3 linked regions of the Saccharomyces cerevisiae S288C genome follow. The protein of the gene in region 1 binds, or shares a complex with, the protein of each later gene. Each region holds a gene or a part of one and is shown in the gene's direction. Other genes may lie near its edges.

Evidence for each region. Proteins that work in one complex are often made in the same cells at the same time.
Region 2: MRPS17 (region 1) and RSM19 share a complex: the UniProt entries of both Saccharomyces cerevisiae proteins name them as parts of the mitochondrial small ribosomal subunit.
Region 3: MRPS17 (region 1) and RSM27 share a complex: the UniProt entries of both Saccharomyces cerevisiae proteins name them as parts of the mitochondrial small ribosomal subunit.

Annotation. Positions count from the first base shown.
Region 1 is NC_001145.3:631,859-640,022, reverse strand, and holds MRPS17 (mitochondrial 37S ribosomal protein uS17m MRPS17), read left to right. Parts: upstream 1-3,018; coding exon 3,019-3,732; downstream 3,733-8,164. Other genes in the region: GCV2 (glycine decarboxylase subunit P), read right to left, coding at 1-2,523; YMR187C (uncharacterized protein), read left to right, coding at 4,039-5,334; Hsp90 family chaperone HSC82, read right to left, coding at 5,551-7,668; RTP1 (Rtp1p), read right to left, coding at 8,053-8,164. UniProt on the Saccharomyces cerevisiae protein: Component of the mitochondrial ribosome (mitoribosome), a dedicated translation machinery responsible for the synthesis of mitochondrial genome-encoded proteins, including at least some of the essential transmembrane subunits of the mitochondrial respiratory chain.
Region 2 is NC_001146.8:694,552-697,108, reverse strand, and holds RSM19 (mitochondrial 37S ribosomal protein uS19m RSM19), read left to right. Parts: upstream 1-1,781; coding exon 1,782-2,057; downstream 2,058-2,557. Other genes in the region: putative ATP-dependent RNA helicase DBP6, read right to left, coding at 1-1,514; mitochondrial 37S ribosomal protein uS12m MRPS12, read left to right, coding at 2,287-2,557. UniProt on the Saccharomyces cerevisiae protein: Component of the mitochondrial ribosome (mitoribosome), a dedicated translation machinery responsible for the synthesis of mitochondrial genome-encoded proteins, including at least some of the essential transmembrane subunits of the mitochondrial respiratory chain.
Region 3 is NC_001139.9:920,215-923,007, forward strand, and holds RSM27 (mitochondrial 37S ribosomal protein mS33 RSM27), read left to right. Parts: upstream 1-1,960; coding exon 1,961-2,293; downstream 2,294-2,793. Other genes in the region: 40S ribosomal protein uS2 RPS0A, read left to right, coding at 361-450, 906-1,574; GPI1 (phosphatidylinositol N-acetylglucosaminyltransferase), read right to left, coding at 2,419-2,793. UniProt on the Saccharomyces cerevisiae protein: Component of the mitochondrial ribosome (mitoribosome), a dedicated translation machinery responsible for the synthesis of mitochondrial genome-encoded proteins, including at least some of the essential transmembrane subunits of the mitochondrial respiratory chain.

The DNA of each region.
Region 1 (8,164 bases):
CATCATTTTGATATAGGCATAAGAAATTGGTAACACTAAAGCATTACCATATGGAGCAGAGGAGACCGAATCGATGGATTTGCTACCGCCGATTCCAGTGATCATATCAACAACGTCATGTTTAGGTAAATGGGGTATTAAATGAGATTTGACGCAAATGGGAGCTCCAGCTGGACCACCACCACCATGAGGAATGGAAAATGTCTTATGTAAATTCAAGTGGCAAACATCTGCACCAAGATCTCCGGGTGAAGTTAGCCCAACCTGCGCATTCATATTAGCACCATCCAAATAGACTTGTCCACCAAAAGAATGTACGATATCAATAGCATGTTGGATGCCTGGTTCAAATAAACCGTAAGTGGAAGGATAGGTGATCATTACGGCGGCTAGTTCTTTAGAATGTTGTTCAGCCTTATTCTTTAAGTCAACCAGATCTAATGAGCCATCCTGCAAACAGTTGACAGGAACAACTTTTAAACCCGCCATAGCGGCAGAAGCCGGATTTGTACCATGAGCGGATACAGGGATTAAACACACGTTACGATGATTTTCACCTTTGCTTTCCAGGTAGGATCTGATTACTCTCAGACCAGTATATTCACCTTGAGCACCTGAATTTGGTTGTAAAGAAATACCATCGAAACCTGTAATGCTGCATAAATCTTTCTCCAACGAAGTAATTAGTTCCTTGTATCCTTGGACTTGGTTTGATGGCTGGAACGGATGGATATTCGAAAATTGGGGCCAAGTGATTGGCATCATTTCAACAGTACTGTTCAATTTCATAGTACAGGAACCTAAAGGAATCATAGAATTAGCAAGAGATAAATCACGAGATTGCAACCTATGTAAATATCTCAACATTGCTGTTTCGCTATGGTGCATGTGAAAGACTTCGTTCCTCAATATTTCATCAGTACGCTGAAATTCCCTTGGGAAACTGTTAGAATAGTCCTCAGAAAGAAACTGCGAAGAATTTTCAATGTCAAACACTTTTAGTAGATTTTCAACATCAGCTTTTGTAGTTGTTTCATCAAGAGCCAAGGAAATAGTGGTGGTGTCCACGGCAAACAAATTGATATTAAATTCTTTCAAGGCCTTGTCCAATAACTGCTCGGAGGATATGCCATTACCTAACTTTATAGTCAAAGTATCAAACCATGTTTTATTAATTAGTTCGTGAGGGCAACTGTCATTTTCGATGGCATTTGCCAATATTGATGTTAAGCTAAATATCCTCCTGGAAATATTCTGTAGGCCCTTAGGACCGTGATAAACACAGTAGCTCGAAGCAACATTAGCCAGTAAAGCTTGAGCGGTACATATATTTGAAGTTGCCTTATCACGCTTGATATGTTGTTCTCTTGTTTGGAGGGCCAACCGCAAGGCCGTCTTGCCTAAGCGGTCTTTAGAGATACCGACAATTCTACCTGGAATTTTTCTGTTTAATTTATCAATAACAGCGAAAAAAGCAGCATGAGGACCACCATAACCCATTGGGACACCAAATCGTTGAGAGGAACCCAGGACGATATCAGCACCGTAATGAGCAGGTGGTTTTAGAAGTGTCAAAGCCATTAAATCTGAGGCCACAGAGAGCAAAGACTTGTGAGAGTGTAACGCATCAGATAACTGTTTCATCGAGTCAGGCGGTAAGATTGAACCATCTGTCGCTGGATATTGAACCAAACAACCAGATACGTCGGGGTTCTTTAAAACATCCACAGCTTTCTTGATATCCGAACAGTCAACTTCAATAATTTCAATATTGAACGGCTTGGCTCTGGTGTGAAGGACACTCTTTGTTTGCTGGTGTAATTTTTTATCTATTACGTATTTTAGTTTCTTTTTTCTGGAAATATTGAATGACAAGAGCATAGCTTCTCCAGCCGCTGTACCCTCATCCAACAATGAGGCGTTCGCCACAGGCAAACCAGTCAAATCTGAAACAACCGTTTGAAAGTTTAATAGCGCTTCTAGCCTACCTTGAGAAATTTCGGGTTGATAGGGCGTATAAGAAGTATACCATTCTGGACTTTCTAGCAGGTTTCTTTGTATAACCGGTGGTAAAATCGTACCGTAGTAACCCTTACCTATGAAATTTTTAACTTTATAGTGGTTCTTATTGGCAATCTTTTCTAGATGTTGAAGCATTTCTTGTTCACAGAATCCCTTACTAGGAGCTTCTAGTTTCAAGGGTCTTCTCTTCAAAATATTGGGAGGAACGAGCTCTTCTATAAATGCGTTTAAATCGCTATAACCCATTGTTTTTAACATTTTCTTAACGTCGCTAGGAGAAGGACCTAAATGACGTCTAGCAAAAGTATCTAGCGGTCTATCAATGTTTTTCAAGTCAGGATTGAAAATCCTGCTGTACTGTGTAGACGTTATGTCTGTAGCGGCTGTTTTGAGCAAAATAGATTGAGAATGGAATGATCTAGTCCTCGCTAATGAAACATAATTGGTGCTTGACCTGACAGTAGCCCTACAAAGGAGAGCAGTCACTCTTGTCCTAAGCATGTTATCTTCCTGGTATTAGGAAACGTTTTTCCAATAAACTGTGGTTAGTTGATGGTTAGATCGCGCAGCAATCAATACAGTAAGATTGGTACACACGAGAAAGACTAATTCACTGGAACTTGAAGAGAAGAAAATTGTGCCACTCGAGCCTGCTATATATACATCCATTTATATTCGTTGGAGATCTTTCGACTAGCTTATCAAGGTCCTTCACAGCTCAATGCTGACTTCGATGACTCCTCTGAGAGTCATGACTCCGAAAAGGAGGAGTCTATACCTCAAGAAGAGTCAGAGATGTCGGGTAACGATTCAACCGGGTAACATGATTGTTATTTCATAAGATTAGAATTCTGAAGCAATTTGGGATTGTGCCAAACCAATGCGAGCATCAAACTGTTAGAGGAAATCCACAAATAAGGCCAAACAGAAGTAAACTCAGGGAGTTGAATTCGGGTTAGAGATTTCAAAAGTCAAATCAAGATCAGTTAAACTGTAATGGCTCGCCAAAATTTTTTAGGCTTGGTCGTCTCCCAAGGGAAGATGCAAAAGACGGTTAAAGTACGTGTAGAAACAAAAGTCTTTAATAAGAAAATCAACAAGGAGTTATTTCATAGAAGAGATTATTTAGTGCATGATGAAGGTGAAATATCAAGGGAGGGTGATTTAGTAAGGATAGAAGCGACGAGGCCGCTTTCAAAGAGGAAGTTTTTTGCCATTGCAGAAATTATTAGAAACAAGGGTCAACAATTTGCATTATACGAATCAGAAGCTCAGTTAAGCGTTGCAAAAGAAGAAGCCCAAAAGGCAAAAGAATTTTTGGATAAAAGATCAGTGAGGGAGAATAAACTAAATGAAAAAACAACCCTTTTACGTGATATTAGGACCATCCAAGATGCTTTATCTAGCGGGTCAACGCCGAAAGAGTTATTGGAGATTAAACAAAGGTACGGCATTCAAGATTTTTCACAAGAAACAGTGAGGCAACTTTTACAGTTAGACATCTCTGGATTGGAGGTTAATTTGGAGAAACAAAGAAGTCTCATTGATCGTATTCAAACGCGATTATCCGAATTGTTGTCGAATGATCTAAAATGTGATCAATTTTTGAAGGATCATGGTGTTGAGGATCCTTTGACCTTGAAAAAAAACATCAAAAAAAATTTGTTAAGAAAGCACGTCATGATGGATATGCAACAACCAAGCCAGTAAATAAAAGAAAGAGGAAAGCCGAGTGTCATATTTTCTCAACTAAAGCACTACACTCTGTAAATATATACAACTACAAGACTTCGTTACGTAAATAGTAAAGTGTTATGTTTTGACTTTAAAATATTCTAGTGAAAAGAACGATGTTTTTGATTTTCTATCGTTTAACGCATTTATATATTTTCAGGCAAGTGATATCGAAGATGTGAGTACATCGCTCGTCCCCATCGTCAAAAACAAAAGTAAATAAAAGAGCTCTGCTCTGATTTTACAAACAAGAAAATTCCAAGGAAATAGTCCAAGTTTTATATGACCCCACCTCATTTTTTTTTATCTCTCATAAAAAAAAGATGCATATGCTGGATATGTTTGGAAGAATCCACATATGACTCTACATGGCTACAGCACACGTGCGGTTGCAACTTACAAATTCATAAACGCTGCTATATAAGATGGCTCTATCAAATGCATGTTGAACTTTTTCTTCCGAACACAGTGGACCTACCAAAGGATGCTGATTTACCTATAATCACCTGTTTAAAATGTCTCGTTGATGGGCACCATGATTTTATGACGACTTTCTCTCTTACAGAAATATGGGAAACTCGTCCCATTTGGGGGCAAAAATCAGTACCGTTTCAAAATGACTACGTGTTCAATCTAATGTCTCTTTATACCAAACGGGATAATCATCCACCTTATGTGTTAGTGAAATTTGGCGAATGTCCTCAATGCAAGAAAACAAATTTCATAAAAAGACCTACAGTAACCATCCAGTCTTCTGTACTATCCCTGTTTTATCAGTGGCAAAAAATTACACGATACGTGATACCATTAGGGATAACTAGTTTATTTCTTTTAAACCCTGAAAAGACAAGTTTTGACATTGGATTATGGCAACTACGCTGCCTTTTCCCTGAGAATGTTCTACGAAATATGTTAAACATCAGCACTACAAAGGCATTGGACGTATATGCGCAAACTGAACGTGGCTTATTAAGCATTCCTTTAACCTCCTCGATCATAATATATGGGTTCATACATTATCTTAGCAACATTTCTAACGTCAGTGCTAATGCAATACTCTTTAAGTGGGTGTATCTCAGTATTGTAAAAACTGCTGGAAACAAATATTACAAGGGTATAGGTTTACCTAAAATAATTTTGTATTCTAACTTGGCTACATTTTGCTATAATTTTACCTTTAAAAGATTGGTTGACTTAATTTACAGGAGGCTGATCAATAAAGGAGGTAAGTATTTGTATCACGGAAATTTTGAAAACTCTAGTAATAGCGTTCCAGCTGAGGAATTTTTTATCAGGCGGAATTGGTATGCTATTCTTGCAGAAAAGATACTATGGCCCTTTGTTGGTAAATGTACAGGAGGTCTTCTATTGAATGCTTTTCTATGGATACAGAGAAAGTTTAAAATTGAATGGACGCCGAATTGCTCCCCTTCGGAATTTAGAATGATTTTCAATATTATAGGTTGTGGTACTGCTGCTATAGGCTGGTCAAGTCTGAAGCTCTATGCCAGTTACAAAAGATGTCAGGAACTTGAAAAGATCAATGAATTTATTGAACAAAGTTGCAAAGGTGAGTAAATAAGTCATTCGTAAGTGTACACTAAACTTTAAGGACAGCTGGTAGGACAATTTTATGGTCATTTGACAGCTGATGTCTTAAATTGTGTGCTATGGTTCATGTTTACATTAAGACCAACTTTTTTAAAGGCGCGTAAAGCAGAATCATTATTACAAATAGTAAAAATAAGTAAACAAATTTATATAATATATAAAACATGAAGGCGAAAAAAGAGATTAATCAACTTCTTCCATCTCGGTGTCAGCTGGAACCTCTTCAACTGGAGCTTCGGTAGAAGCTTCTGGAGCGGTTTCTGTTTCTTCATCCTCATCAATGTTCAAACCTAAAGAAATCAATCTATTTATTCTTGATGCAAAAGAAGTTGGTTCTTCCAAACTGAAACCAGAAGTCAACAAAGCGGTCTCGAATAATAAGTTAGTCAAATCTTTGACGGTCTTATCTTGTGCACCACCCTCATCAACTCTCTTTTTCAATTCCTTAATAATTGGAGATTTTGGAGAAATTTCGAAAGTCTTCTTGGAAGACATGTAGGAGGACATGGAAGAGTCTCTCAAGGCTTGAGCCTTCATGATTCTTTCCATGTTAGCAGACCAGCCGAATTGACCAGTTCTGATGGCAGCTGGAGCATCTAGCAATTTGTAAGAAACAACAACCTTCTCCACTTGGTCACCCAAGATATCCTTCAAGGCCTTGGTCAATGGTTCGTATTCTTTGATCTCCTTCTCTCTTTCAGCTTTTTCTTCGTCTGTTTCTTCCAATTCGAAATCTTTAGTAATGTCAACCAAAGTTTTACCCTCGAATTCCTTCAATTGAGTGAAAGCGTATTCATCAATTGGGTCGGTCAAGAACAAAACTTCAAAGTTCTTAGCCTTCAAGGCGTCCAAGAATGGAGACTTTTCGACTGCCTTTAGAGATTCACCGGTGATGTAATAGATGTTCTTTTGGTGTTCTGGCATTCTAGTAACGTAATCAGTCAAGGAAGTCAATTCATCGACAGATTTAGTAGAATTGTAACGTAGCAACTTAGCTAAAGCAGCTCTGTTTTGAGTGTCCTCATGTACACCCAGCTTAATGTTCTTAGCGAAGGCAGAGTAAAATTTGTCAAATTGCTCGGAGTCTTCAGCGATTTCGTTGAAGGCTTCAATCAATTTCTTGACAATATTCTTTCTAATAACCTTCATAATCTTATTTTGTTGTAACATTTCTCTGGACAAATTCAATGGTAAATCTTCAGAGTCAACAACACCCTTGACGAAAGATAACCACTCTGGAATCAAGTCTTCAGCTTCATCAGTGATGAAGACACGACGAACGTACAACTTGATATTGTTCTTCTTCTTCTTACTCTCAAATAAGTCGAATGGTGCTCTCTTTGGAATGAACAAGATAGCTCTAAATTCCAATTGACCTTCAACAGAGAAATGCTTAACGTACAATGGGTCTTCCCAGTCGTTAGAAATAGACTTATAGAAAGCATTGTATTCCTCTTGAGTGATATCAGATGGGTTTCTAGTCCATAATGGCTTAGTCTTGTTCAACTCTTCTAATTCTTGAACCTCTTCTTTAACTTTTTTGGTTTTTGGCTTCTTTTCTTCTTCTTCTTCATCGACTTCTTCCAATTTTGGTTTCTTGTCATCTTCATCCTTCTTTTCCTCGTCTTTCTTTTCTTCTTCTGGAATTGGAACTTCCTTTTCGACTTCCTTGGTGACTAGAAGTTGGATAGGGTAAGCAACGAATTCAGAATGTCTCTTGATGACTTCTTTAATTCTCTTTTCTTCCAAGTACTCCAATTGGTCATCTTTCAAGAATAATCTCAAGACGGTACCTCTACCAATTCTTTCGTTAACTTCGTCCAAAGTAACGGTGAAAGAACCACCGGCATTAGATTCCCAAATATATTGTTCGTCCTCATTGTTCTTGGAAATAACTTGAACTCTGTCGGCGACTAAGAATAAAGAGTAAAAACCAACACCGAATTGACCAATCATGGATACATCGGCACCAGCAGATAGAGCTTCCATGAAAGCTTTAGTACCAGACTTAGCAATGGTACCCAAATTGTTAATCAATTCAGCCTTGGTCATACCAATACCAGAATCTCTGATTTCCAAAACTTTTTCTTCTGGTTTTGGGGTGATTCTAATGAACAAATCTGGTTCGGTTTCCAATTGCTTTGGATCAGACAAAGCTTGGTATCTAATTTTGTCTAAAGCATCGGAGGCGTTAGAGATCAGTTCTCTCAAGAAAATTTCCTTGTTAGAATAGACAGTGTTGATGATCAAACTCATCAACTGAGTGATTTCAGCTTGAAATTCAAAAGTTTCACCAGCCATATTTCAGAATGATTCTATTTTTCTATTGGTTCTGTAGCGTTTCAAGAAAAAGAAAACAAGAGAAAGAATATATCACAAAAAATATAATGCATGTGTTCATGTCACTTACGGTAGGCAGTTCACATGCCACTCTTTTTATACAAATCTCCTCCCTCATTACCCAACGCTTGGTGGAAGTTCGAGAAAACGAGAAAAATTGTTCTTTCACCTTCTAGAAAGAAAAGTGCCCAGAAAACAGAAAGGCGGGTAATAAAATGCATCGGCGGCTATTTTAACTTTCTATTGGTAATGGCTGCTGTTCTATGAATACAAAAAGAAAGAATATAAAAGAACGTAAATATTAATTTTGCCTAAGAAGCAAATTATAATCAAATGCGTAATGGGTTATAAACTATCTAGTACGGTTAAAAGCTTGTCAATCTGTTCACAAACCATGTAATCTTCATCTTGATCACGAACGTAAGATAATAGTGTTTTTAGCTTATCGTAGTTGTAC
Region 2 (2,557 bases), on another chromosome or scaffold:
TTTTTATTTTCTGCTTTGGAGTTGTTTGAATTGACAGAATTAATACTCACCGCCAAATTTTGAAGGTTTTTCAATACGCTGGATTGTGAGCGAGATTCACAGATAAGTTGTAGTAACTTGCTTAATCTGATAGACGATTCATTTGATTTAACGAAAATCAAAATCTTTGCAGCAATGGGGGAATGTGCCATAAATTGGCATATTGAATACAACAATATCAATGGCTTGTAAACACTTTTCGCCGTGGGAATGTTGATGTTAAATTCATTCAATTTGTTAGGTAGCTGGTACAATTTATCGGTTTGCTTCAGGAACAACTTTGGTTTGTAAAGGTTCAAGCCGTTTAACTTTTCTGTGTTGGTAGTCAATGTCGCACTGAAGATCATTTTGATCACGTTCCCTGGAAGTGTATCTAATTTATCCGTTTTCAAATGGGACATTAGTTTTGGACACCAGCCCTGGAAGGACTGGTTCAAAAGACGATCAGCCTCATCGATAATCAAAAACTTTAGGTTTTTCAAATTTATCGATTTCATATTTAGATGATCTACTAATCTACCAGGTGTAGTGATTAAGATATCTGGTTCCAAATTTGATAATTTTTTGTGTTCGTCCTTCAAAGAATTTTCTAATTTGGCAATGCTCACAATAAGCGACGTCCCTTGAGTTAGCTTTGTCAACGTAGTATAAACTTGGTTTATCAATAGTTTTGTGGGGACGATGATTATACAACGCAGTCTGTTAATTTGTCTCTTGAAGAGGGTTTGAACAATAGGAATGGAGTAAGCCAAAGTTTTACCTGAACCGGTAGCAGCATTTACAAGAATATCACCGATTCTTCTGGTGAAGTTTCTCTTAGATACGTTCAACGTGAAGTTCAATACCGGTAATATGGAGTCTAGGATGATCGATTGGATGGGAAAAGTGTTTGTAGAGAAATTCTTGCAAATATTCTGCAGTAGTTTTGCTTCTAATTCATTTGCGTAATCCGAGAACGGTTTGATCAAGGAATTATCATAATATATCTTCTCAGTATTTAACCAACCCGTAGATTTGAACTGTAATGAATTTGTATTCAAATTCATTGGGTTTTTGACGAATTCAGGTTGAGGAATCTGTTTTAGTTGGTGAGTTGAGGCCGCCTCGTCTTCAATACCTTCGTCTTCCTTACTCTCAGCAATATCAGATGCACCTAGCCTTTCTTGCAATGATACTGTTTGCTTGAATCTCGATAGCACTGTGCTGTGAGTACTTGGCTTACTCTCTTCCTCTTCCACTTCACTCGAATCCTCTTCACTAGCCCCATAATCTACTTGCATACGGTCTTCGTCTTCCTCTGAACTAGAGTTGGAACTCTCATCAGAATCTTGGTGAGAGCCATATTCTTCATTATCAGATTCAGTAGCCTGCCTCTTTAAAGGCACAATGGCCGGGGGAGTAGTTCCGACGATTCCTTCTGGTGCGCTAGCTGCAGGAGCAGTCAATTGGCTAGGGTCAAATCTCGATGCAAACATTGTCACTACCGGTCACCAATGGTAAAGGTGTCCAGTTTCGAGCACATCTCATCGCCAGTTATGCTTTCTATATAATACAAATCTGCAATAATTTTTCAAATTTTAAGCATCACCCGGCATTAGCGTTTGGATCACTATTCACGGTTATGGCTGAGCAAGAAATGGCAATTGGAAGCGCCTAGTAAGAATCTAACCATGACTTAAAACGGTGAGGTTCATTGCAAGAGCAGTACAGCATCGGCAGAAGTAGTGTCCACCAAAAATAAAATGCAACCGGCAGCTAGACTTTTATCGCGGTCCGTATGGAAGGGCCCCAACATCGTGCCATTACCCATAAGGGAGGCCATGACTAAGGGCACTCCAATAAGAACAAACGCAAGGGCCGCCACCATCCTTCCTCAGTTCGTGGGACTGAAATTTCAAATACACAATGGTAAGGAGTACGTACCTATTGAAATATCAGAAGATATGGTGGGCCACAAACTGGGCGAGTTCGCACCTACCAGGAAGCGTTTCAGCTATACTCAAACCAAGAACAAATGAGGGATCTAGTGTATATAGATTTCTAGATGATATATCATGTAAATAAGATCAAGCCAGACTCGGGCTGTATATATATATATATATAGCATAATAAACAGTAATAGTGCTTTTAAAAGCATTTCAGTCTTACCCGAGCGACAAAACGATTTGGGGAGAAAAAACGCATATAACCAGGGAAAAGACGGAGAACTTACAGGTACACCAGAATTGAAGCAGGCCAACAAGAGCCATGTTGTCGAGGTTTATGTCCAACACATGGTGTACGCCCTTGAGACAGGCGCAGAGATTGTTTTCCTCCACTACGACAATGCAAGCGACATTGAATCAGATTAAAAGAGGCTCCGGGCCTCCAAGACGCAAGAAGATAAGTACAGCTCCACAACTGGATCAGTGTCCCCAGCGGAAGGGTGTCGTATTACGTGTAATGGTTTTAAAGCCCAAGAAGCCGAATTCTGCGCAGAGAAAGGCGTGCAGGGTCCGTTTGACTAACGGGAACGTGG
Region 3 (2,793 bases), on another chromosome or scaffold:
AAACGCAGGCCCAGAGATTCTCCAGGCAGGAAGGAATTGGGACAGATCCTGCCTGGAGGGATGGAGGAATTTACTTCGTAGGCTGGAACAGGCTCATCTCAGCCAACGATTGTAAATGTGCAGGGCCATCGTTACAATCCTGCGCACCCTACCATGGATACCAGAATCCCGTCGTGTTCCCAATTGTGAGTAGTACAGTGGCCTGCTGCCGGGCAGATAGTAGCAGGGCAGGACACTTGCCAGATCCCGTAGCAAGGATGCTTATAATATATCGAAATGTAGCATTGTTAGTTTACTTCGTAAACTGCCCTTGTAGAGTGAGGTATAGCTTAGAAAATAGCAAACTAAATAGAGAGCGAAATGTCCTTACCAGCTACTTTTGACTTGACTCCAGAAGATGCCCAACTTTTGTTGGCTGCTAACACTCACTTAGGTGCTAGAAACGTTCAAGTATGTTATACTCATTCCCGATTATATAATAGAGTAATGTGTGATTGAAAACAGTTCGAGTGAAAGAATAGCCACAACCAGGTTTCCCGCCAACCAAACGGAATGCTGGGATAGCATTTTTCAGGCTGAATAAGAAGAGAAATATATGAACAATCATTAAAACAGTTTGAAACTCCAGCTAATTATCAGCGAATATTTTGCCAATAGACTTTCTAATTGTATTATGTTATTAAATTTTAAATCGCTAATGAAAAAAAAAAACAAACCTTTGGTATTAAACCTCTTTCAATGAAATCAATTAATTCCGGTACCTATTCTTCCGACGCTGTTAGCCAACTATAAATGCCATTTTTTCATAGTACATTAATTTGAATCAGTTGATCATTCACAGCATATACCAAGTGTACGTTTTTGAATCTTTTATACTAACTTTTTCTTCTTTAATTTTGTTTCAGGTTCACCAAGAACCATATGTTTTCAACGCAAGACCAGATGGTGTCCACGTTATCAACGTTGGTAAGACCTGGGAAAAATTGGTTTTGGCTGCCAGAATCATCGCTGCCATTCCAAACCCAGAAGACGTTGTTGCCATCTCTTCCAGAACTTTCGGTCAAAGGGCTGTTTTGAAGTTCGCTGCCCACACCGGTGCTACCCCAATCGCCGGTAGATTCACTCCAGGTTCTTTCACCAATTATATCACCCGTTCTTTCAAGGAACCAAGATTAGTTATTGTCACCGACCCAAGATCAGATGCTCAAGCCATCAAGGAAGCTTCTTACGTTAACATCCCTGTCATTGCTCTAACTGATCTTGACTCTCCATCAGAATTCGTCGATGTCGCTATCCCATGTAACAACAGAGGTAAGCACTCCATTGGTTTAATCTGGTACTTATTGGCTAGAGAAGTTTTGAGACTAAGAGGTGCTTTAGTTGACAGAACTCAACCATGGTCCATCATGCCAGATTTGTACTTCTACAGAGACCCTGAAGAAGTTGAACAACAAGTTGCTGAAGAAGCTACCACCGAAGAAGCTGGTGAAGAAGAAGCCAAGGAAGAGGTTACCGAAGAGCAAGCTGAAGCTACTGAATGGGCTGAAGAAAATGCTGACAACGTCGAGTGGTAAGTAAGGTGATATTTACAAATAGTATATTAATAATTATAGTATAATGTTTTATTAGAATAACAGATTTCTTTATCAATTTAGCGGCTAAATAAAAATCAAGAAAAAAGAAATACATTCATTGTGTCATCTTGTCACACATTTAGCCATGTACTTTATTTGCTGAGAAGTTTAATCAATTGAGAGTAGTTAGCTATTGTAGTAAAAATGTGCAAATGAAGTCTTATCAACACGTAGCGTATATAGTGATCTAAAACAGTTAGAAATATAATAAGCGAACTTCTAAACCATTTTAGAGCACATAGCCATGGAGAATAGGTACTTGTTTTGACCCGCTCGACGAAGTGGTACGTAGTGATTGCGTGGATTAGTTTATCATAAGACTTTCAATGAACGTACCAAAGGCGAGACTCCTAAAAGTAGCAGAGTTATCTGCGAAGATATTTGATCAAAATTTCAACCCATCAGGTATAAGAACCGGTTCTAAGATTCTAAATGAGCGATTAAAGGGCCCTTCTGTGGCAAGCTACTACGGCAATCCGGATATCCTGAAGTTCAGACATTTGAAAACATTATATCCTGATATTGAATTTGTAGACCTTGAGGAGCAATATCGATTATCTATGGTAGAAGCAAAGAAACGTCGTGGTAAAGGTGCTCCTAAGAAGATGAAGAAGGATGCAGCTGCAACTGCAAAGGGGAAGGGGAAGAAAAAAAAATGATTGGAGCACCCTTACTAAAAAAAATATTCATTATGTAGAAACTCATTTCATGTACATACAAAATCAAAAATAAAACAACAAATAGCTGAAGCAAGAAAACGCTACTTTACTTATAAAAGAAAACGTTATGCCTGAATAGTCAGCCTTTTGTATAAATCCTTTACACTCAATGGCTTACTAGGCAGTGAAGAATAAAGAACATAGTACAGCTTATTTCTATTGACCATTATAGACTCCCCTCGGACAATCTTTCGTACAGTAGCAAACGAGAAATAATTTGTCCTCATTTGCGACAACAATAGATTGTATGGTCTGAACATACTCTTGAATTTAATAGGATTGTTTTGAAGTTCTAAGGTTGTATGCTTGTTAGAAACCGTGGTTTTGAGCTCAATTGAAATGCCACCGGGTAGACGTTTAGGATCTTTTAACCTAAGTAATAATGCGAACAATGGAAAATGGTTAATGAGTGCAATGACAGCTTCCGAGAATATTTCGAT